Macaca mulatta: one gene and its partners. The protein of the gene in region 2 purifies or fractionates together with the protein of the main gene of each other region. This does not show direct contact. Links are inferred from orthologs where the notes say so. Each region holds a gene or a part of one and is shown on either strand. Other genes may lie near its edges. The genes, in order: CDC26, ANAPC13, ANAPC4, ANAPC7 and CDC27.

Region 1 (4,621 bases), on a different chromosome or scaffold from region 2:
GACCTGTATAATTTTTATAGGAGGCTAAAATTATTAACCAAACTGAACAGCTTGCTTCGATGACTTCTTTATGTGTGAAATAGGAATCATTTTGTCAACTTCACAGGTTTTTGTGTTAAGAATGTAAAGAATGGGAATGGAAAAAGAGCACAGTGCTCAAGAATGATCTCACCTTTTATTCAACAAACATTTACTGACTGTTTTTATAGATACACTCTAGGGGATGCTGTGGAGAATATACAAATGATGCCATCAACAGATATTAAACTCAATTGGGGGAGTTGTGTTTTCTCAAAAACAAAACAAAACAAAACAAAATGGTTTTTGTTAACACAGTATTACCTCGGGATTTCAGGCTGTGGAATGCTCTTTTGAACCTCTTTTCTTCTTCTTCTTTTTTTTTTTTTTTTCTGAGTTGGGGTCTTATGGTGAGATCATGGCTCACTGTGGCCACCTCAAACTCCTGGGCTCAAGTGATCCTTCCATCTCAGCCTCCTGAGTAGCTAGGACTACAGGTACACACTACCAGCCTAGCTAATTTTTTTACTTTTTTGTAGAGACAGGGTCTTGCTATGTTGCCAAAGCTGGTCTTGAGCCTCCTTGTGCACTCTTCTCTCTGCCTGCCCTTCAGAAGTCAACTAAGATATCATTTTCTCCAGGAAGGCTTGCCTGACATCCTTGTCCACCCCACACTCAGCCCAGACTGGATTAGGTGCCTGTGTGATGCCAGTGCCAGTATCCTCATTAGGGTTCTCGTTATATGATATCACAGTTTTCTTTATTTTCCCCACAGATTATGACTGTACCTTTTAATTCTGTAGCTGGAGCACAAGAAGTGTTTGTTTAATGAATGACGTACACACATTTAGGATCTGTTTGGACGCTGAGGATAATCCTGTGAATTGGTGAGTTGGAGTCTTCATGAGATTTAGCAAACTGATTTTAGCATTCAGGAGTGATCACAAATCTCTGACAGTTCTCACGTAGAGTAGATTAAATTCACTGGTTTGTCCACTTTCCCCTCTAACTATACTGAGATGTGATAGTTTATTCTTTTAGCTAGAGTATTTCTTTGAATGTGACTAGAACATGAGATTAAAGTGATAGTTTGCTATTTTAAATTCTTACTGAAAGAGTTTTTGATTTTACAGAGCTGTAGATCTCCATAATGTAATAAAAATGTAATAATCATATACCTAAAGACTTTAGAAGTTGGCTGGGTATAGTAGCTCTTGCCTATAATGCCAGTACTTTGGGAAAATGAGGAGGGAGGAACACTTGAGCCCAAGAGTTTGAGACCAGCCTGGGCATCAGAGAGAGATCCCATTTCTACAAAAAACACAAAAATTAGCCAGATATGGTGGTGTACACCTGTAGTCCCAGCTACTCTAGAGGCTGAGGCAGTAAGATTGCTTGAGCCCAGGAAGTTGAGGCTGTAGTGAGCTAAGGTCATGCTACTGTGCTCCAGCCTGGGCAAAGAGCAAGATCCCATCTCTTAAAAAGACTTTAGAAGTCTGTGTGAATTCAAATAAAGTTTTAATACTTCCATTCACTTTAGTACACAGGCTTGCAAACTGATTTTATGTTTTGTATCTGAGACTTTATTACCTTCAGTTTTTCCTCCTCTCTTTCATTTTTATCAGCTAATAGTTCACTGGGTTTGGCCCTTAGTGTTGACTTCAGTATGCTGAGACGAAAACCAACACGCCTAGAGCTAAAGCTTGATGACATTGAAGAGTTTGAGAGCATTCGAAAGGACCTGGAGGTATGAATACAACTTTGTGTTTTTTTGAGATGGAGTCTCGCTGTGTCACACAGGCTGGAGTATAGTGGCATGATCCTTGGCTCACTGCAACCTCTGCCTCAGCCTCCCAAGTAGCTGGGACTATAGGTACATGCCAGCATGCCCGGGTCATTTTTGTGTTTTTAGTAGAGACGGGATTTTGCCATGTTGGGGCCAGGCTGGTCTCCAACTCCTGACCTCAAGTGATCCATCCGCCTCAGCCTCCCAAAGTGCTGGGATTACACATGTGACCCACTGCACCCAGCCAGTGATTGATTGCAGAAATCATGTCTGTTTGCATCACCATTTCCTACCATCTAGCTCATGGTAGGAGCCCCATATGTATTTTTAAGTGTGGCCTTGCTACATGGTATTAGATGTCCATTAATAAGACTTAAATTATTCAGTGGTCTACAGAATAAATTCCAAATTCCCTAGCATGGCATATGAGGTCCTTTGTGAGCTGGTCCTTGCTTATCTCTCCACTTTCACTGCTGGGTTATCTTTAATCTCAATGCCTATACACAAGTGTTCCCTTTGCCAGAAAAGTCCTTTATTTTTCTTTGCCAGGCTAACTCTTACTTCTTCCAGCCCCCAGCTGGGTTAGGCTCAACCTCATCCTCCTGTGCTAACCTCTCTCATAAGCACTGTTAGTCTCTGTTGTAATTGTCTGTTTGCTTTTGTTTTCCCTCACTGGGCCATAAGCTCCTTGAAGTCAGGGATTAGTATATTTCTGTCTGCATCTGTTCCCTGCAATACCAGGCCCAAAGGAGGGCTCAATACAAGTCTATTTTCATTTGCTGTCCTAGCAGATATCTTGTACTATATGGCAGAGGACAGTACATTTTGCATGTATTTACCAACAGCTTTATTATGGATTGTATATGCTTCATATTAAGACTAATAACTTAGATTTCTTCCCCCTGCTTCATCCCAAGACACTTTAGTGTTCTCGAAGCATCATAATTTCTGCTTTTAAAAAACTCATATATTATTAAGGATGAGCTTTAAAGTATGGCTTAAACTTCAGTTGTTACAAATCTCATAAAATGCTAGCATGCCGAACTTTGACTCTACAGAGTCAGCTCACTATTGAGTTAGTCTTTTCACCAAAGGCAGTTATCTAGTGGGTTTTGCCCTGTTTTAGAGTAACTTAGGAAGCAGGGACAGTCATGCCCTAAAGTGAAACCAGTAGAAAACTGGCCTGTTTCATTTATTACCAACATGAGTTTGATTATCTACTGTGACTCTAGCTTCTGAAACAGCAGTTGCTCAAAGTGGGAACCCTTTTAAGTGATTTCATTCCACTTGGATATTCTCAGAATGATAGAGTTGTTTGCCTTTTAGAACTTGTTTTCACAAAGATATTTAGGTAGAACTTTCTAACATCACTTACTAGTAATCAGGAAGGTCATTTGCCACATAAAAGGCAATACCTTATTTTATTCACTGTAATACTTTGTGAGTGTTGGCATTTATTTTATTTTTTATTTTTATTTTTGAGACAGGGTCTTGCTCTGTCGCCCTGCTGGTGTACAGTGGCATGATCACCACTCACTGCAGCCTCTACCTGCCAGGCTCCAGTGATCCTACCACGTCCGGCCCCCTGAATAACTGGGAATACAGGCATGTGCCACTATGCCTGGCTAATTTTTAAATTTTTTGTGGGCCGGGTGTGGTGGCTCACGCCTGTAATCCCAGCACTTTGGGAGGCCGAGGCAGGCGGATCACGAGGTCAAGAGACCATCCTAGCTAACATGTTGAAACCCCATCTCTACTAAAAATACAAACATTAGCTGGGTGTGGTGGCATGCACCTGTAGTCCCAACTACTTGGGAAGCCGAGGGCAGGAGAATCGCTTGAACCTGGGAGGTGGAGGTTGCAGTGAGCCGAGATGGCGCCACTGCACTCCAGCCTGGTGACAGACCGAGACTTGGTCTGAAGAAAAAAAAAAAATTTGTGGGGACAGATGGAGTCTCACTATGTTGCCCAGGCTAGTGTCAAACTCCTGGGCTCAAGCAGTCCTCCCAAAGCAGTGGGATTTACAGGCATGAGCCACTGCGGTCAGCCCGATGCTTGGCATTTAAATGCCCACAGTCCAGCAGCAAGTGGTGAAGAATGGTGGTAATTCCAGTGATTTGAGTAGCTGAGCCATTCTATTATTATTAAGGAATTTTGGATAAAACATCATTTCACTCTCTTAGAGAAAGTTATCATCTGTTGTCCTTACAGTCAGGTAGTGGCAGTTACGGGATAAGTGTTTCTTTTTGAAAATGATCAAACTGAGACATACTTTGTGGATTCTGCAGTCACATGTGACTTAAGAACCAAACCTTTTATCTGAAAACAAAATGAAGCCACAAAACCCAGACCTTTTGATAAGATAGCATAAAACCTTCTCATGTTACTTTTAATCTCATGGGATCAGTTAGGCTATAGATTTTTGGTGGTTATTTCTTTACCAGTCAATTTATTTTTCTGTCTATTCTCTAGAATAATAAATTTGTTGAAATACCCTTTGCTCCCCCTTGTCTGCTCTTACATCTTTCCAGTTGTAGCTTCCTGTTGTACCACCACACCCCAACTCCTTACCTCGTCTCTTTGGCAGTGTTGACTTCCCTCTGTCATAGGTCATAGCCCGGATCACCCTATAATCGTCTCTTTGGCTGTTTACCTATTAGACTGTGACATCCTGGAGGGCAGGGGTTACATCTTTTTTTTTTTGAGATGGAGTCTCACTCTGTCACCAGGCTGGAGTGCATCTCGGCTCACTGCAACCTCCGACTTCCTGGTTCGAGTGGTTCTCCTGCCTCAGCCTCCTGAGTAGGTGGGATTACA
Region 2 (4,572 bases):
GTCACATGAACATACTGTAAAGGAAATGGCTTCCTTCCCTAAAATAGTACCCAGGCTGCGATCTGAACAAAGCACTTCTAGGTGAACACCAGTGGTAGAACCTCATACTGCTGGTTTCTCCAGTTTCTGCTTCCCTTTGGGATAGCTCCTTCCTTGGAGGTTCCTTCCTCTAATTCTTAATGCTGCACTCCCTTTAATTTCTGGCCCAAATGGCCAGGATACTTATTTAGCTCCTTGACCATGGCTGATTCCCCATTTTTCTCTGAAGCTGCAATAAAAACCCCAACAAATGACCAATTCACACCCTACCAGCAATTTTCTTAAAATGGTAAGTCATGGGCCACACTTAGTGTAGGATCTGGGACCATTTACTTGTATTTTAAATTTAAATGTATTACTACTGAACTCTGCTTTGTACCAGAGTTCACAGATACCAATATATTTCTTTTCAATTACCTTAATTTATGTTTTGCTTTATGCTTAGCAAACTGTTATGCAATATCCAGACTTAAAATTTTCCGCTGGATTCTAATTCGTAGTATGTGAACGTGTTTTCCCCTCTAAAATTATGCTCAATATATATTAAATGATATTTACTTATCTATATTTGAATCACATACATCTTGTTCTACAAGACAGATTCAAACATACTTGAACAGATTGAAAAGAGCTATCATTTATTGTAAAGCAATAATATATTATCTTAAACTTAAAAACAAAGTTCAGTCTTAATAATTACTTATAGATAACAAAGAATAAATAGGTCCTTAGTTAATGAATTATTTAATTCAGAAGTAGACAACCTTGCTTAATTTCATCCTATCTGTGGTATGCTTTCTAATCCAAAAGGCTGGCTAGCTTGGAGGATACTTTTGGATTCCCTGTTTCCAAGGTTGGGCCCTGATTCATCATAGGCGTCATCCTATGGGTGCTCCCTGTTACAAAGTCACAATCCAAAAAGCCCAGAAGCCACTGGCATCAAAGGTACTCTCAGTTATTCTGTTTCTGAGACTATGGAGACTCACACAATAAGCAATTTTGGCGGGGGCGGGGTGGAACCCACCATCTTGAGGTGCTTTTTTCAGAGCTCAGCCTGGGTGCTATTTTAAGGAAGGAAGCCTTTTCCTTTACAAGGTCAACTTCAGACATCGTCTTGCCTTGAGGATTTGTGTCAGGTCTGTAGTTGGTCCCTTCCCATAGTCCATTTTAGTGTTATCTCAGTATGTTCATGAGCTCCTGTGCCTAAGAATGCTGAGGTTTGGGCCAAGGCAGGTGGAAGTTTTTGTAAAAATGGCTCACATGGCCGGGCGCGGTGGCTCACGCCTGTAATCCCAGCACTTTGGGAGGCCGAGGTGGGCGGATCACGAGGTCAGGAGATCGAGACTATCCTGGCTAACACGGTGAAACCCCGTCTCTACTAAAAACACAAAAAATTAGCCGGGCGTGGTGGCAGGCACCTGTAGTGCCAGCTATTCGGGAGGCTGAGGCAGGAGAATGGCATGAACCCGGGAGGCGGAGCTTGCAATGAGCCGAGATCTGGCCACTGCACTCCAGCCTGGGTGACAGAGCAAGACTCCGTCTCAAAAAAAAAAAAAAAAAAAAAAAGACTTGGTCTCAAAAAAAAAAAAAAAAAAAAAAAAAGGCTCACAGATGTCCCCCATAGGATAACTGCAAGATATCCCCAACACCTTGGCAAAAATTATACACAGATTGGTGTGTAGGAAAGGGTTTAAAAGATCTGGGCAAAACTTAAGCAAAACGCGCCCTGCTACTTCTGTCACCGGTGAGCCAGGTGAGGGCTTAATTAATCCAGTACTCAATAATTAACCCCCTACTACCCAGTGGATAACTCAAAGCAAGACGAAGTTTTGGTTATACTTTTGAAGTCCCTGTCTTATAAGAGCTCCCCACTTTCCTGCTGCTACTCCTTTGTCCTTGCTGCTGTGTCTCCTGGGATACCCTTTTCACTTTCCTCAGCTGATCCAAACCTGACTTTCCCAGGCCCACATAGGTTTTCCACCTTTTAGTAAGGTTTTCTCAGATCACTCGAGCTTCAGTAGGCCTTCTATCCTTGAACTCTTGCTTCTTGTCCTAACTTAAATCTACTAAACAAGCTTTGTGATCAATTGCTCAGGTATTATTGTCTCCAACTGTTATGTGTACATTTTGTACCCAGGATTCCTTAGTAGATCTTTCTACAATTTGGCCTCAATCTTTTTCACCTGTCCCTTCTCCAAACACCTCAAACCCTGTCACATTTTCCAGCCTTGACAGTTAAAACCCCCCTTTCCACATCACTAATGCCACTCTTCCTTTCAAGATCAACGCAGGCGTCAGCTCTTGGAGGTCAACATCCCATTTCCGGGGTTAGGCGTGAAGGTGCCTTCACTCTTAAGGGGCTGGAAGGATGGAAAGCAACAAGATAATCTAATCAATGCCCAAGGCACAGCCACCGTCCCAAATACTCGTCACACAATACGACCACTGTTTCCTGAACAAACTTTTCTTACACGTGACAGTCCCGATGCCTGCAATGCTGTTTGTTTCTTCCTTTTTATTCCAGCGAACCCATAGTCAGTCTAAAAATCTCAGGTCTCAAGTCGCTTCCTGTAGGAGGCCGCCTCCAAACCTCAGGCTGAGCGCGGTCCCAGTACCCACCGGGGATCTCATAGTTCCCTAAGCACAGAGCATGGCACCAACTAGGTAGCCTGTCAAACAGCCCAGATGTATGTCTTTCCAGACACGCAGTGCCTGCGTTTCCCGGGACAGGGACATGTCTTATCCATTTCTATACATTATAGCTTTGTAAACATGTATCTGTAAGGTCAAAGCGGGAAAATATTGTTCCTTGCTAGAAATGAGCCTCGCAGGCCACCACACTGTACGAGAGGCCGCCCCTCAGCCGCGGCTTCCGGCCTGACGCAGGATGTACCAAACGTGGAAGCGGAGACGGGGAGGTCTGGGGTGCCAAGCAAGTCCCTTTCCTCCCGACACAGCGTGCAGTAAAGAAAACGGTTATGAGCGTAAAGTGACAGCCTCGGCCGATGGAAATAGGGGGAAGTCCGACACTGAGCCACGAACGCATTCCCGCGCCTCCAAAACCTAGGCCGGGGGCGCTGCAAACCCTTACCGTTACGCGGCCCAGCGCGGCAGACGCTTCCTCCTGCCACGCCCCGCATCACGTGTCTGCACGCTCTTTCTCGGATTCCCGGATGTGGGTGAGTCCATTTGCTCGCGTGCAGGGGAAGTCTGGAGAAGACATTGATTCAATTATTAAAAGTGTGGGGGCAGTGGGCGGAACGAACGCTCCGACTGCTGAGGCTGGACGTAAGCTTAGTGGTGGCGCGCGTGCGCAGTGCACGCCCGAGGTAACGGCGGGAAGGCTGAGGGATGCGCTTGCTGCAGCCGTGTAACCGCCCGTGCGCAAGACGGAAGCGCAAGGGGCGAGCGCGTCCTGGTCCGGAGGCGGCCCAGGCTGCCTTGGTGACTCTGGCTTCGCGGCCTCATGGCTTGCGGCCGGTTCGCGCAACAGTCTGCGAACCACCAGGCGCCTCCCCGCCGGCTCGCGTCCGCCCCGGAGCCCCGTCCCTCGGCCTGGCCCGCTATGCCCTGCACACCGGCGTAGTCCGGCATGGCGCAGCCCGGCGCGCGGTTCGGCCCCGCCAGGTGGTCACAGCGTTTCCTCGGAGGCCGGGTGGCTGGGGGCGCTTCGGAGAGTAGCCAGGTGGGCGGGCGAGCTGCGCCCAGTACTCACCTTTCCCGGCGGACCCACCTTTCTTTTCAGCGGAGGGACCCCTGTGCGGCCTCCCGGCCAGGGCTGCTGTTTAGCTAGCGCTGTTAGGACTACTTCATTCACGGCACAAGGGGACCCGCTCATTTAGGGTGGCATGTTAAGGTTGGCAGCTTTTAAAATAGTGAGTTGGTGTAAACGGTTATGTTTAGTACAGCAGGTACGGAAATATGGCAGAAATCGTGGACTGAAATTGGAGAACCCTGAACTAACTGCTCCATGCACACAGATCAGGGATAGAAAGAAACAAGGACGGTTTCTTAGGAACACTTTAATCATGGAGATACTTGAAGACAGTACATTTAGGCTTATAATGTGGTTTTTTTTATGTCGTATACGACATCAGGAGAGTAAAGATGTGTATGATGTCAGAGACTAGTCATCTTGTATAGTTTAAGCACCGTACACTAATATGCACAAAGTAGTTTTCCCTGAGCTTTATGTCCGGTTAAACTTATTAAAAGAATTTATTCTTTTATAAAGCAGTATTGTAGGGTAGATGCTCTGTATTTATACAGTTCCTCACGTGCTTGCGTTTATTTTTTAGGTAAGAGAAAATCATAAGGATCGTTGATTAGATTTCTGTTAGCTGTAGCTTAATAGTAAAACAAAGTATATATATTTTCTTATTTGGAATGCAGTACTATTTTTAGATTAATTTTTGAGATTGCCTTTTGACTGTGGCATGATCAGTGATCAGGGTAGTAAAAAAGGCTCTGAAACTAAAATGGGGTAGAGATTTATAAACAGGCACACTGCCTTTTAAAATGTATGTAGATGCA
Region 3 (4,630 bases), on a different chromosome or scaffold from region 2:
CCCGGCTAATATTTTATTTTTAGTAGAGATGGGGTTTCTCTATGTTGGCCAGGCTAGTCTTGAACTCCTGACCTCAGGTGATCCACCTGCCTCGGCCTCCCAAAGTGCTGGGATTACAGATGTTAGCCACTGTGCCTGGCCCTGTACCTAATCTTTTATGTCAACGGGAGACTTACCTTTTATAAAGAAGGCTGTCCAAGGTGACAACCAAAAAAAGAAATAAAAGAACACAAACACCACTAAAAAGGTAGCTAGCTGTAATATAGTCAAATTATACGAAGCTTGGAATTAGTCCACGTGGCACCTAATTTCAGCTGTGTCACTCACTAGCCATGGATCTTAGACAAATCACTTAACCATTCTAAATCTCCATTTCCACACCAGTAAATTCCCACCTTGGAAGATCAAAATGTTGCCCAAGAGCTCTATGACTGCCCCTGTAGCAGCTTCTATACAACCACTGACAGTAAGGAAGAAAAGGCTTCACAAAATGCACATGCTCCTCCAAGACCCCTCCCCATCTCCACACTCAGCTTCACCACCATGACCCTGCCTTATCTCACAGATCACAGCACCCTTCACTCCGGGTTACATCATCTCCTGGACTTGACCCTCTCTTTTCTGAAACCATTCCTGCCATTCCTTACTTCTGAAACCCTTCCTCTGTGCTTTCTATAGCTCACGGTCAGGTGTCATCATGAAATTAATATCTTCATACTTTTCTCTGAAATGTGCCTCTCACCTGAGGACAATGCTTCCCTGCAGCCTTGCTAGGTGGTGGCCATTTTGTATCCCACAGCCCTTAGTACTGCTACTCTTGGGCAGGAGATGAAGTAGGTGTCTTCCTTGATGCCTGATGCCATTTCTTCTCTTCTTGAAAATCTCCTAACTTTGAATCACATGTAATCACACCATACGACCGCTATCCCTCTAATTGCAGTCCTCTACAGACCCCTAGGCCATTCCCCTCATTCCTCGAAAATCTGGATACCTGGCTCCCTTATGCTTTCAGCAACACACTCATCCTCATTTTTGGTGATTTCAAGAGCTATGATGCCCTAGCTCTCAATTGCCTCTCCTCCAGTGATCACATCTTCTACTGCACTCAGCCACTCTCAGGGTCATACCCCTGGCCTGGTCATTACCAGCAACTGCAGGGCCACCAAAATCTCCATTTCACACTTCCCACTTTCCATCCACCGCCCCTCTTTACAGCTCATCTCTACAATACTCAACTCCAATTCTTTGACCTCACCAGGATACAGTCTATTGATTCTACCACCTATTTACTGTCCCTCTCCCCTGCCTTCGCTTCCCTCCTTCATCAAGTTAGAACCCAAAGTTCAGAAACACAATCACTCCCCTTGCACATAACTTCAACTCTCTTTCATCTTTCTCTTGCTTTGTCATACTTGCAAAACAACAATCCTGGTTAAACCCAACGATGCCTGCACCCACACAGCCAAACAGAACGGAGAGAGACACATACAACCTCATTCAACCAGTGTCTCTCAAATAACAACACCGATCTTGTGTGGCTCGTAACACTGACAGGCAATCCTATTAGGCTTCCTAAGTCCACCTGCCTTGTTAGCTTTTTCATACCTCTTCTTTCTCAAACTTCCAATATATTCTTCTCCATCTTCACCCATAGACAATACCCTTGCTTCTTCCTTCACTGAGAAAATGGATATAATAGTGCCCTCTATCACACCTACCCATCTGATTGCACGGATGTGCCTCCTGTCTACCTTCCCTCCTACTTCTGTGGCTGTATCACCTGCTGCTCTCTAGAGCCACAACAGAGTTTCAAAGCATCCCGGCAGTGGAGGGAGACTAGATTTCATGGAGGGCCCTGAAAAATGAGACATCAATACCCCGGCGACTGGATCATGGCAGATAACATGGTGCTGTAGTCTGCAGGGTGCTACGATTTCCTTATCACCTAGTTTCCAAATTTGACTCTATACAACTCTCACCTGGCCAGATAACTCTCAAGCCAGAGGCGGAAAGATGCACAGGTGAAGGTTTCCTTACAAAATGGCTGGCAGGTAGTAACTCTCAGCAGAAAGTTGGGTACAACTGGCTTATACTCGATGAAATTTAATGTGAACAAGACATGGTGATAACATTCATGCACGTTCTCTCTGGAATCCAATGCATCCCTTCCTTGTCCAATTTAAAGGTATTTTTAGTGGTGGTTATCCAACCCGTAGTATAAAACGTGGACAAGAGAAGCCAGATTCTTAAATATATCCTCTGTGGCAGCTACATGCATGCACTTCTGCAGCTGAAGTTTGATAATAACTCTTCCTTCTGCCATTAAAACTGTAAGCAAACTTAGGGCAGGGTCCCTGGATCTACCACTATGTCTAGCTCATGAGTGGCACATCGTGCGCTTTTTTAAAAGTTCATTTAATTAATAAACCAATGACTGAAGACGACTTGGGGAAGCAGGATTGCGTGACGGTGTTAAGCTGTGTGAAAAATGTTACTTTAGCCATGAAAGTACCGAAAATAGCACAGACATCACCTTTCGCATACATACTTAAAGTTTGCTGCCGTCCTGGGAGGCAAGGGTAGCAGGTGGCCCACCATGTCTGCAGAAGGGGAAACTGAGACTACGGCCGCCTATGGCCCGAAAGAACAGGCTCGGGCTCGGTGTTCTTGGGACCCCGGGAGCAGACCCAACACACGCGGGCTCCCGCCGGCTCACTCACCTCGCCCGCTGTGTTGGCCAAAGCAATGAGATCCCGCTTGGGCGACCAGACCAGGAAAATAATCTCCTGCGGGAGCTGCTTCTCTCCCACCACCCGGAAGGACGGGAAACAGGTCGGAAAACGCAACATGGGGACGGCCCTGCAACGACACCCCAGTAAGAGGCCGGCAGAAGCTCCCGGCCCTCCACGAGGAGCCCCGACCGCGGCTGTACCTGAAAGAGTCCCCACCGGTGACTAACACAGCCCCAGCGACCTCACCCCTCCCTCTGCCGGCCGGGCGCCACAGCTTCCAGACCGCCCCGCCTCGCCGCTGTCGCGCGCTCCAGGCACTTCCGGCGTCGAGACTGCCTCGCGAGAGGAGGAGGCGGGGCGGGGCGCGCACCGGGCTTGGCGGGGCTGAGAGCCAGACCCGGCGGACGGGGACCGGGCGCTGTGGGCGAGGCAGGGAGCAGCGAGGGGCGGAGCGAGGTGGGGATAGGATGGGGCCCGTGGGCGGGGCAGGGAGCAGCGAGGGGCGGAGCGAGGGAGGGTGGGGCACGTGGGCGGGGCAGGGAAGCCCGAGTGCCGCGGAGAGGGAGGGAGCGGAGCCCCAGACCCAGGTGCGGGTGGGATCGCTGGGCGCGGGGACCCAGAAGGGCCCGAGAAGGGCGGGGCGGGCCCCTGGGGCCGCACGCGGGGCTTTTGGGAACGCGTTTGTGCACGTGTGTGGGCATGCTTGCATAGGTTTCCCGTTTTCCCGGAAATTCGCTGCTGTGGACGACGGGACGTTAGGGGTTTATGGGGAGGCTTCAGCAACAACGGGGAGATGATAAAGAATATGAACTTTAGGTCCTGATCAGCTGGAGCCTCCTCTGACAGTTACTAAGCAAGTAGTTCTCATGTCATTCCTGGTGGGTCAGTATAGAATTTTAAAAGTCCCCCTCTCCAAGCAGCACCCCAAACCAATTAGAAGAAAATTAACCCTGGATGGGCCCAGTATTTACTAAAACTCTTCGGGTGATTCCAGTTTGAAGAGAGAAGAGGCGCCTGCCTAAAACCTCCCTAACAGGAAAATAATACTGTGACACCTCATCCCATTTAACCCTCAAAACATATTGATAGTTGCAGACCCATCATAACGAAGAGAGTGTAGGCTCATACACGATTTCTTCTTGGCATTTACTATGTGGGGGAACTGAGGCTACACGAATGCATGGGACAGGAACTCTGCCCAGAGGCTCACGGGTCAGCCTGGCAGACTTGTACATCAGAATTCATCTGATGTTGCTTTATGTAGGACACATTTAAATGAGTCAACATGTTCACAGTTCCCACAGCTATGACCTCCCTAAGAGAATGTGACAGTGTCATCCTAGGGTTCTTAAACCCTCTGGTAGAAAGTCTACTTTTCACTACCTTTGACTTGTTCAAAGAAGAAAGAGACCGCAGGACCTTTAACTTTGAACAGGCCCCATCTTCTAGACCTTTGTCTGGATCTAGCCCCTGGGAAGTAGATGACGGAGGGAGACTAATTCATTCAGCATCAAGTAACTATTTTGTGCCAAGTACTGTTCTTAGCCTTTGACTTTATACCTACCCTGTTTCCTTTCAGGGGCTTTGCAACCCTTGCCTTTGCCGCAGACAACTTAGCATGTGCCCCCAACTCTTCCAGAATCAACATTTCTAAGGTAAAAATGCATCCGCCTTTGTTTTTCACAAAACGCATTTTCAGGTGTTAATGTTTTGGGGCGGTTATAATGGATCACCTGGTGGGGGTCCAGTATCTATGCACTTGATATTCTAATGGAAATTGAGTGTCCATTTTCCTGGAATTTACCTGAATACAAACACCCACACAGCACGTGAAAATGACTGTTCCCAGAGGCATAAACACCGTACTGCAAAGGACTGAGTATAACCACCTGCACATT
Region 4 (3,371 bases), on a different chromosome or scaffold from region 2:
AGTAACTTGCCCAAGATCACAGGTGGTGAAGGTAGTATTCAAAACTTCAGACCTCAAGTTCTTAATGACTACAGTAGATAGAAACATGGGAAAGTACTTACAATACTTTGATTTGAAAAAGAATATAAAATATATACTAGGTACAACCCTATAAAAATATGTGTGGGCAAGGACAGAAGATGAGCTATACAAATGAACACAGATGTTATAGTGGTGTGGGATGGTTATGAGTGAAACAGTTCTCTAATGTTGTTAATATATTTTAAGAAAAATTTTTAGAAGTCATGAATCCACAAATAACTCCTCTACCATTACTATTATTATTCTGCTTTCAACCATGGACACAAAGTGTGTGTGTGTTTCCATAACTCCATAACTCCTGTGACGCAGCTCACTGCCTCCTCTACCCTCCTCAGTGGCCTTCCCCCAAGGGAGGCTAGTGCCTACCTTAGTGCTATACTATACTGGTCCATTGCCTCCTGATACTCATTGACAGCTACAAGGAAATCTCCTAGGATCCGATGCAGGACACAGTCACTCTGATTAGCCAGTGCGTTCCTCAGCAAAGCAATTCCATCTTCATATTTCTGTTCTCTGCCTGGTGGAATAAAAAAGACCCTCACTGTCCTACTTGAACATTTTGAAAATATATTCCCATCTTAAGTCACGTACAAAAAAAACACAACTACCATTCTGACAATCTCTTTGCAGACATCCTCAAGATAACACTGGTGCAACACAAAGCGAGGGCAAGCACACCTGATGTCCTATTCAGTTAAGAAATCTGCAGTTTGAATTACAATGTTTTAAATGGGCTCTTAACTTTATTTTTTTTATTTTATTTTATTTTTTTTGAGACGGAGTCTTGCTCTGTCACCCAGGCTGGAGCGCAGTGGCCGGATCTCAGCTCACTGAAAGCTCCGCCTCCCGGGTTTACGCCATTCTCCTGCCTCAGCCTCCGAGTAGCTGGGACTACAGGCGCCCGCCACCGCGCCCGGCTAGTTTTTTGTATTTTTAGTAGAGACGGGGTTTCACCGTGTTAGCCAGGATGGTCTCGATCTCCTGACCTCATGATCTGCCCGCCTCGGCCTCCCAAAGTGCTGGGATTACAGGCTTGAGCCACTGCGCCCGGCCTTAATGGGCTCTTAACTTTAAAAAGCCAAATTGCATTTGCCAACTAGCCCAAATTCAATGAACCAAACTATGAGTTCATCATAAATCAGGACTGAAAAAAAAAAAAAAACAGGGCCAAATGAGAAGTCATAAAATAATTCAGATAGCACCAAACAGTTCAAACTGGCTAAAACCAGTTAGTTAGATTCAGCTCAAACTAATTCAGGACAACTCAAACCAGATAACAGTGAGCCAAGGCTGGACGCAGCGGCTCACGCCTGTAATCCCACCACTTTGGGAGGCCGAGATGGGTGGATCACGAGGTCAGGAGTTCGAAACCAGCCTGGCCAATATGGTGAAACCCTGTCTCTACTAAAAAAAAAAGAAAAAAAATTAGCTGGGTGTGGTAGTGCATGGCTGTAGACCCAGCTACTCAGGAGGCTGAGGCAGAAAAATCGCTTGAACCTGGGAGGCGGAAGTTGCTGTGGGCTGAGATTGCACCACTGCACTCCAGCCTGGGTGATAGAGCGAGAGGTCGTCTCAAAAAAAAAAAAAAAGAAAAAAAAAAAAAAAAAAAAAAAAGGCCGGGCGCGGTGGCTCAAGCCTGTAATCCCAGCACTTTGGGAGGCCGAGGCGGGCGGATCACAAGGTCAGGAGATCGAGACCACAGTGAAACCCCGTCTCTACTAAAAATACAAAAAATTAGCCGGGCGCGGTGGCGGGCGCCTGTAGTCCTAGCTACTCAGGAGGCTGAGGCAGGAGAATGGCGTGAACCCAGGAGGCGGAGCTTGCAGTGAGCCGAGATCGCACCACTGCACTCCAGCCTGGGCAACAGCGTGAGACTCCGTCTCAAAAAAAAAAAAAAATAATAATAAAAAATAAAAAAAAAGTGAGCCAAACAGATACCAACCAATTATAGGTGGCTACAGCCAAGCCAAGCAGGTCTAAGCCAGCTACATTTGGTTGGGCTAAATATAAACCAATCCAAGCAGGCTCAGACCTGCTGCAAAACACACACACCTGTCTGGTCATCTGTAACTAGCTGGGACAAGGGTGTCCAATGAGGTCAGGTTTCATAAAAATTAATGATGAATAGGGCAGAAAATAACACACACTTACTAAGCAGTTCTGCTTTTTTCACCACAGCCTTAATGTAATCTGGCCTTTGGGTCAGGGCTTTATCTAATAACGTTTTGGCTTTCTCCTGTGTCACTGGGTCTTCAAGACAAACGGTGGCTAAAAGGGTAAGGGTCTGTGCATTTGCTCCCAGAGTTTTGTAAACGTTGTTAGCCATTACCATTGCTTCTCGAATACTGTTGGAGGCTAAGTAACACTCGATAAGACCTGAAAAAAGTAAAACACATTAAGACATTCAATGCCATTACCACTTCAACCCATGCTTCCACTCTGACAGCTCTCCAAATTGCTAACCTTCAAAGTTTCAGACGAACGGCAGGCCAGGGGAAACTGATGGTGGGATTAGACAGGCAAGTGTGTTGATGGAATAGCTAAGAAGTGCTCTTCCCCAGAGCACTTGATGGATGTGGAAAAAGACTGCCTTCAAAGGCACCTTCAGTTTAGGGAAGGAAACAAGCACATGTAAGGAACTCACAGCATGTGAGCACCCCATCTGACCGCTGGAAGAATAAATGTGACACTAATGATTACTTTGTCATATGGCCAAGAGATCAAAGTAGTGAGAGATGATGTTCCCAAAAAAACCCAAGGTTTTGCTGCCTCTTAACAAGCTGTTATTCTCCAGCTGCATTCGGTCACCTGCAGGGCTAGGTTTAAGATGGAAGGCTCCTAGGGTCTTTTTTTTTGAGATGGAGTTTCGCTTTTGTTGCCCAGGCTGGAGTGCAATGGCACCATCTCCACTCACTGCAACCTCCGCCTCCCGGGTTCAAGTGATTCTCCTCCCTCAGCCTCCCGGGTAGCTGGGATTACAGGCATGCGCCACCATGCCCGGCTAGTTTTGTATTTTTAGTAGAGACGGGGTTTCTCCATGTTGGTCAGGCTGGTCGCGAACTCCTGACCTCAGGTGATCCGCCTAGCTTGGCCTCCCAAAGTGCTGGGATTACAGGTATGAGCCACCGTGCCTGGCCTGGCTCCTAGAGTCTTTAAGTGAATTTCCAGTTTGACAAATAAAGGACTTATTGTCAAGCAACCTAGGGAGAAAGACTCTTTTATTTGAAACATAACAGCTGTCTCAAAAGGCACTTGCTGAGGGCTTCCCTAAACTAGATCAAGAATACTTT
Region 5 (4,409 bases), on a different chromosome or scaffold from region 2:
AGGTATAACTCCCAATGCAATCCCTCCCCACTCCCCCCTCCCCGTGAATCCATGTTAAATGCTGTCCCTGAACATTTTATCCCCAGCCAAAAGTACTTCTTCACCATCTAATGATCTCTAAAATAATATCATGTATATGGTACCCAATTGCTATATTGCTTATTAAATCAATTTTTGAAAGGCTTATTTACAACTTCATCCAACACTCCTGTGAAGTCTTGCTTCACCCGGGAATAATTGCTAAATCTATATAAAATCTCTTTGCTTCTTTTTAAAAAACCAATTTCATCAGATGACTTTTCCAAAAAGCTCTCACTGAAGTCACTTAGCCTAGTGTGTCTTTCCAAATAGTTACTATTAAAAATAAAGGAACTGACAGAACTTCTGCCTCATATTTGAGACTTTTATAAGGACTCAAATATAAAGTAATACTCTTCTGAGAAGTGGTAATTTGAGATGGAGTTTTAATTTAGGCATATATGGTATATCAGCCTGGCCATTCTACGTTAAAACTTTAAAGAAAAAAAAATGCAGAAAACAGTTGTTCATCTTTTCTGTGAACTTCTTCCTATGCCTAGTAATACCATCAACTCTGAGGCATTCCAAGAAAGAACAATTTTCCAACTTACTCTCACTGCTTTCCAAATACATGCAATCAGTCATCATAGTTTTTTGTTTTTGTTTTTTTTTAAATAAAGACAGTATCTTATGTGTCTGTCCTATTTTTATTCTCTTCCTAATTCTTTCCCATTTGCAGCACTATCCCTGATCATTGATCTTTATCATTGTAGTTAAAGTTGCTTGTTCTTCTCACTGCTCCAAATCCCTTCTTGAATGGCTTCTTCTTATACTATACAACCAAAATTTTTACCTAGTTATATCCTAAAACTTTCTACCACTATCTCAAAAATCTAATGGACAATGCTAGTATGAAAAAGAAGCAAATTTGACATTTAAGCCTTAAAAATATTGAAGTGTGTTACTGCTAAGAGTACTTTAAGGGCAAATAGGAAACCTAATGGGTACTATCTAGAAATAGGATACATATTCCTTTTCTTTTCCATGCTTTTATTATTTATTTATTTATTTATTTATTTATTTTGAGACGGAGTCTCACTCTGTCACCCAGGCTGGAGAGAAGCGGGACCATGTCAGCTCACTGCAACCTCCATCTCCTGGGTTCAGGCAATTCTCCTGCCTCAGCCTGCCGAGTAGCTGGGATTACAGGCGCCCACCACCACGCCCGGCTCATTTTTTAATATTTTTAGTAGAGACGGGGTTTCCCCGTGTTGGCCAGGCAGGTCTTGAACTCCTGACCTCAGGTGATCCACCCACCTCGGCCTCCCAAAACGTTGGGATTACAGGTGTAAACCACCGCGCCCGGCCTTCCATGCTTTTATAAAGTCTGAAATTATTATTAAATGGTGGTTATCGTCTATCAGTGCAACTAGTTTATCACTTTAGAAGACTTCTGGGGCCAGAGAAGGCAAAAAAAAAAAAAAAAAAATCATTATTAAAACAAAATTACAAGAATATGCAACAGAAATTAAATAACTTGAGTAATCTGCTTATCTATTTAAGTTCATGTTAGGCCTTAAAAAATTATATAATTACCTCATCTACAGCCAGAATAAAAAAAAAACCTTAAAAGAAACTATGCTGGTAAAAAGAAATAGCTCTAGAAAAACCGATACAACTTACAGACAGGAAAATTTCATAAGATACAATCTTAACGTTTTATTAATTCAAACACTAATAGCTGCTATATGTAAACAGCTGGAGAAGAAGCCAAACTAGAAGAAATGAGTATTTCATGCTGTTTAGAAAAATGAAATAAATATGAAAGCAGTGACATAATAAAATATTTACTATTTGATACCTCAAGCCTTTTAAGGGCAATATGAAGGAATTTCTAAAAATCGGTTTGCTTTATAACTTCAAAATAAAGTCCAAGACTCAATGACAGTGGTTGATAGAAGTCAATTCTGATCAAGTCAAAGATCACATGGTGGGAGGAAGTCTCCCAGACCTGGTCCATTACCAAGGCACAAAAGATTCAGTTTCTCCAGATGTCAGAGGGGAAAATGACTTGGCACTGCATCACAGACTTAAAATCCAATAGGGTTCCTTTAATGCAACACAGCACTGTGCGTCAAAGCATACCTTGGTGTAAGGGCAGTGAAACAGACACAAACACCACTATTTGTCTTTCATTTCCTGAATGCCTTATAAACATGCACAACAAAATGCTCCTGATCCCCATCAGAGAGGATGAAAACAACCCAGATATGCCCTTTCCACCTCCTCCCCTGGTATTGGTGCTTGCACCTCAGCACTGAGGCTTGGAGTTGTCTTCTCAAACCATCATTGTCCGGTGGGAAATTCACCGAGAAAGGAAACGTGGGAGAGGAAGTCTGTTACCAAAATAGAAATTAGTATTAAAGATACCGATCCTACTCTCCCTCCACTCTCTCACATAAGACAAAAATAAAAAAACCTCCGCAAACTTGCCCTACCATCGCGAAGATCATACAAGCTCCGATCAAATGTGCTTCTCGATCATCTTTTAGGCAAGAGAGCGCCTGGGGTGCGTTTTCGGCCCCTCATCTCCCAACCCCAGTCAAGCCAGGCCCCTGGGCTGACAGGAAGGGCTGGCCGGACGTTGGCTCGGACGGGAAAGACGGTTATTCTCGCCGAAGCCGCTCACACTAAGGGTGAAGTAACGTAGGGCCAGAGGTAACACGGCTTAGGCTGCGGGCAAGGCCTCCGAACTGACGGAAGATAGGCAGGACTCGGCAGCAAGGGAGGCGGTAGAAGCAGCCGGGCCTAGGCCGCACCAGGCCGCGGAGTGGCCCTACGCTGCTTCCCGACTGAGGCTGCAAGCCAAGCCTCAGAGAAGAGGGTTATCATTACCTGAACGGGTTCCTGCAGCACCGTCATCCTCGAGGCTTAGGCCCACTTTCTGCAGTGCCTCAGGCCCCCCCGGTAGCGGCTCCGGCCCGGCCAGCCCCGGCTCATTTAAACTCACCAGCGACCGTTACCGGGGGATGGGGGAGGCCGAGCGATTGCCGAGTGCTTCCGAGCGGGACACGGAAATTCCCGAAGTGGAGAAAGCCGAGCGGGAGCCAGACGGAAAAGCCCGAAAGGGGTCGGAAATACCCGAGGTGGGTCGACGAGAGAGAAAAATCGTTGCCGGAAATTGTCGAAGATTCCCGGAAACTACCGAGTCTAACCCAAAGCGTAGGTTTTCTTCTCAGCCACGCCTTCAGTCACGCACACCACGCCCAATCGGCCGTCCCAGGGCTGGGCCACGCCCAATCGGCAACCAGCAGGCTGGGCGTGGCGTGACTGAGCGGCCCGGGAGCGTTACGTGGCGGGGCTGCAGGGTGGATTCGCCACTCAGCCCTTCTGGGTTAATTGATGTGCTGTAGATTATAAAGCAAAGGGTGAAACAGCAGAGTTTGGGGCAGACTTTAATGAATCAACAAGTATTTGTCTATTGAGTTTAGATCATTCGTCCATTCCAGAAGTATCTACTCACGGCTCTGGGGAAAGCTAAAGAAATTTGGAAAGATTGCCACTCCAAAGATATTAGGATAGCTTCTGTCCTCAAGGAGGTTAAGGTCTATTTAAGGGAAAAGCAGTGTAACAGAGAACGCTATATTATGTGGTGCCTATTATAAGTAATATAAAAATTCAGAGAGGGAAATTGTGTTAAGATGAGGAAAGTTTTATGGAAGGAAAAAAAAGTTTAAACTGGAGTTTGAAGGATGGGTAGAATCAGAGGAAAAATAAGTATAGGAAAGTGAAGGAAGGAAAAATGAGATCAGCCTGCTAAGAAGGCATTAATTGGAAATAGTTACTTAGGTGAAGAGATCATGGAAAAACTCAATAGGCCGTTAGAAATTTTTATTTTTGACAGGCGAGGCATTCCACTGTGGTGGGAAGAGTAGGGGGTAGGAAATTCAGAGGCCTGATTTTGAATTGTATCTTTAGCACTAACTAGTCATAGGTCTTTGGCAAATTACAACCTCTCTGAACTTGTGTTTGCTTAGTTTGAAAAAAAAGGATTAAGGGAATTTGATGTATTACAAGTGTGGCTGTGTCTAGCACGCAATGTAGACTCTCTTGTATTTCCTTTCTGCTCTTCCTCTCCTCCGAAGGAGAGTGAACTAGGGAACTGTTTAAATTTTGTTTTTCAGCAGAAGAGAAAAACGGTTTTTGAAGGTTACTCTTCTAGTCAGGAGTTCTCTAGGCTAGATGTGAGACTCATGATATATTCCATTGCTTGGAAATTTCCCTTTGGGTGATGTTGGAGGGAGATATTTTTTCTTCCATTTTTAAAAACAAGGCTGACAGAGCTACACTGCATCTTTTTCCACCGCCTTCTCTTGTCACTGTATATGTAC

Evidence for each region.
Region 1: the proteins of ANAPC13 (region 2) and CDC26 purify together in Homo sapiens (affinity purification with mass spectrometry; 4 studies listed by BioGRID and IntAct, counting the BioPlex papers as one, with this or other methods). This does not show direct contact. The link is inferred for Macaca mulatta from reciprocal best matches to the Homo sapiens genes ANAPC13 and CDC26.
Region 3: the proteins of ANAPC13 (region 2) and ANAPC4 purify together in Homo sapiens (affinity purification with mass spectrometry; 9 studies listed by BioGRID and IntAct, counting the BioPlex papers as one, with this or other methods). This does not show direct contact. The link is inferred for Macaca mulatta from reciprocal best matches to the Homo sapiens genes ANAPC13 and ANAPC4.
Region 4: the proteins of ANAPC13 (region 2) and ANAPC7 purify together in Homo sapiens (affinity purification with mass spectrometry; 3 studies listed by BioGRID and IntAct, counting the BioPlex papers as one, with this or other methods). This does not show direct contact. The link is inferred for Macaca mulatta from reciprocal best matches to the Homo sapiens genes ANAPC13 and ANAPC7.
Region 5: the proteins of ANAPC13 (region 2) and CDC27 purify together in Homo sapiens (affinity purification with mass spectrometry; 5 studies listed by BioGRID and IntAct, counting the BioPlex papers as one, with this or other methods). This does not show direct contact. The link is inferred for Macaca mulatta from reciprocal best matches to the Homo sapiens genes ANAPC13 and CDC27.

What each region holds. Positions count from the first base shown.
Region 1 is NC_133420.1:45,040,885-45,045,505, forward strand, and holds the start of CDC26 (anaphase-promoting complex subunit CDC26), read left to right. Parts: upstream 1-1,684; coding exon 1,685-1,765; intron 1,766-4,621. UniProt on the Homo sapiens protein: Component of the anaphase promoting complex/cyclosome (APC/C), a cell cycle-regulated E3 ubiquitin ligase that controls progression through mitosis and the G1 phase of the cell cycle.
Region 2 is NC_133407.1:37,526,365-37,530,936, forward strand, and holds the start of ANAPC13 (anaphase-promoting complex subunit 13), read right to left. Parts: upstream 3,166-4,572; 5' UTR 3,131-3,165; exon of another isoform or gene 3,085-3,130; intron 2,685-3,084; exon of another isoform or gene 2,511-2,684; intron 1-2,510. Other genes in the region: CEP63 (centrosomal protein of 63 kDa), read left to right, coding at 3,391-3,666. UniProt on the Homo sapiens protein: Component of the anaphase promoting complex/cyclosome (APC/C), a cell cycle-regulated E3 ubiquitin ligase that controls progression through mitosis and the G1 phase of the cell cycle.
Region 3 is NC_133410.1:24,394,045-24,398,674, reverse strand, and holds the start of ANAPC4 (anaphase-promoting complex subunit 4), read right to left. Parts: upstream 3,008-4,630; 5' UTR 2,933-3,007; intron 2,860-2,932; 5' UTR 2,850-2,859; coding exon 2,721-2,849; intron 1-2,720. UniProt on the Homo sapiens protein: Component of the anaphase promoting complex/cyclosome (APC/C), a cell cycle-regulated E3 ubiquitin ligase that controls progression through mitosis and the G1 phase of the cell cycle.
Region 4 is NC_133416.1:117,543,892-117,547,262, forward strand, and holds part of ANAPC7 (anaphase-promoting complex subunit 7), read right to left. Parts: intron 2,458-3,371; coding exon 2,233-2,457; intron 599-2,232; coding exon 448-598; intron 1-447. UniProt on the Homo sapiens protein: Component of the anaphase promoting complex/cyclosome (APC/C), a cell cycle-regulated E3 ubiquitin ligase that controls progression through mitosis and the G1 phase of the cell cycle.
Region 5 is NC_133421.1:71,468,270-71,472,678, forward strand, and holds the start of CDC27 (cell division cycle protein 27 homolog), read right to left. Parts: upstream 3,064-4,409; 5' UTR 2,941-3,063; coding exon 2,914-2,940; intron 1-2,913. UniProt on the Homo sapiens protein: Component of the anaphase promoting complex/cyclosome (APC/C), a cell cycle-regulated E3 ubiquitin ligase that controls progression through mitosis and the G1 phase of the cell cycle.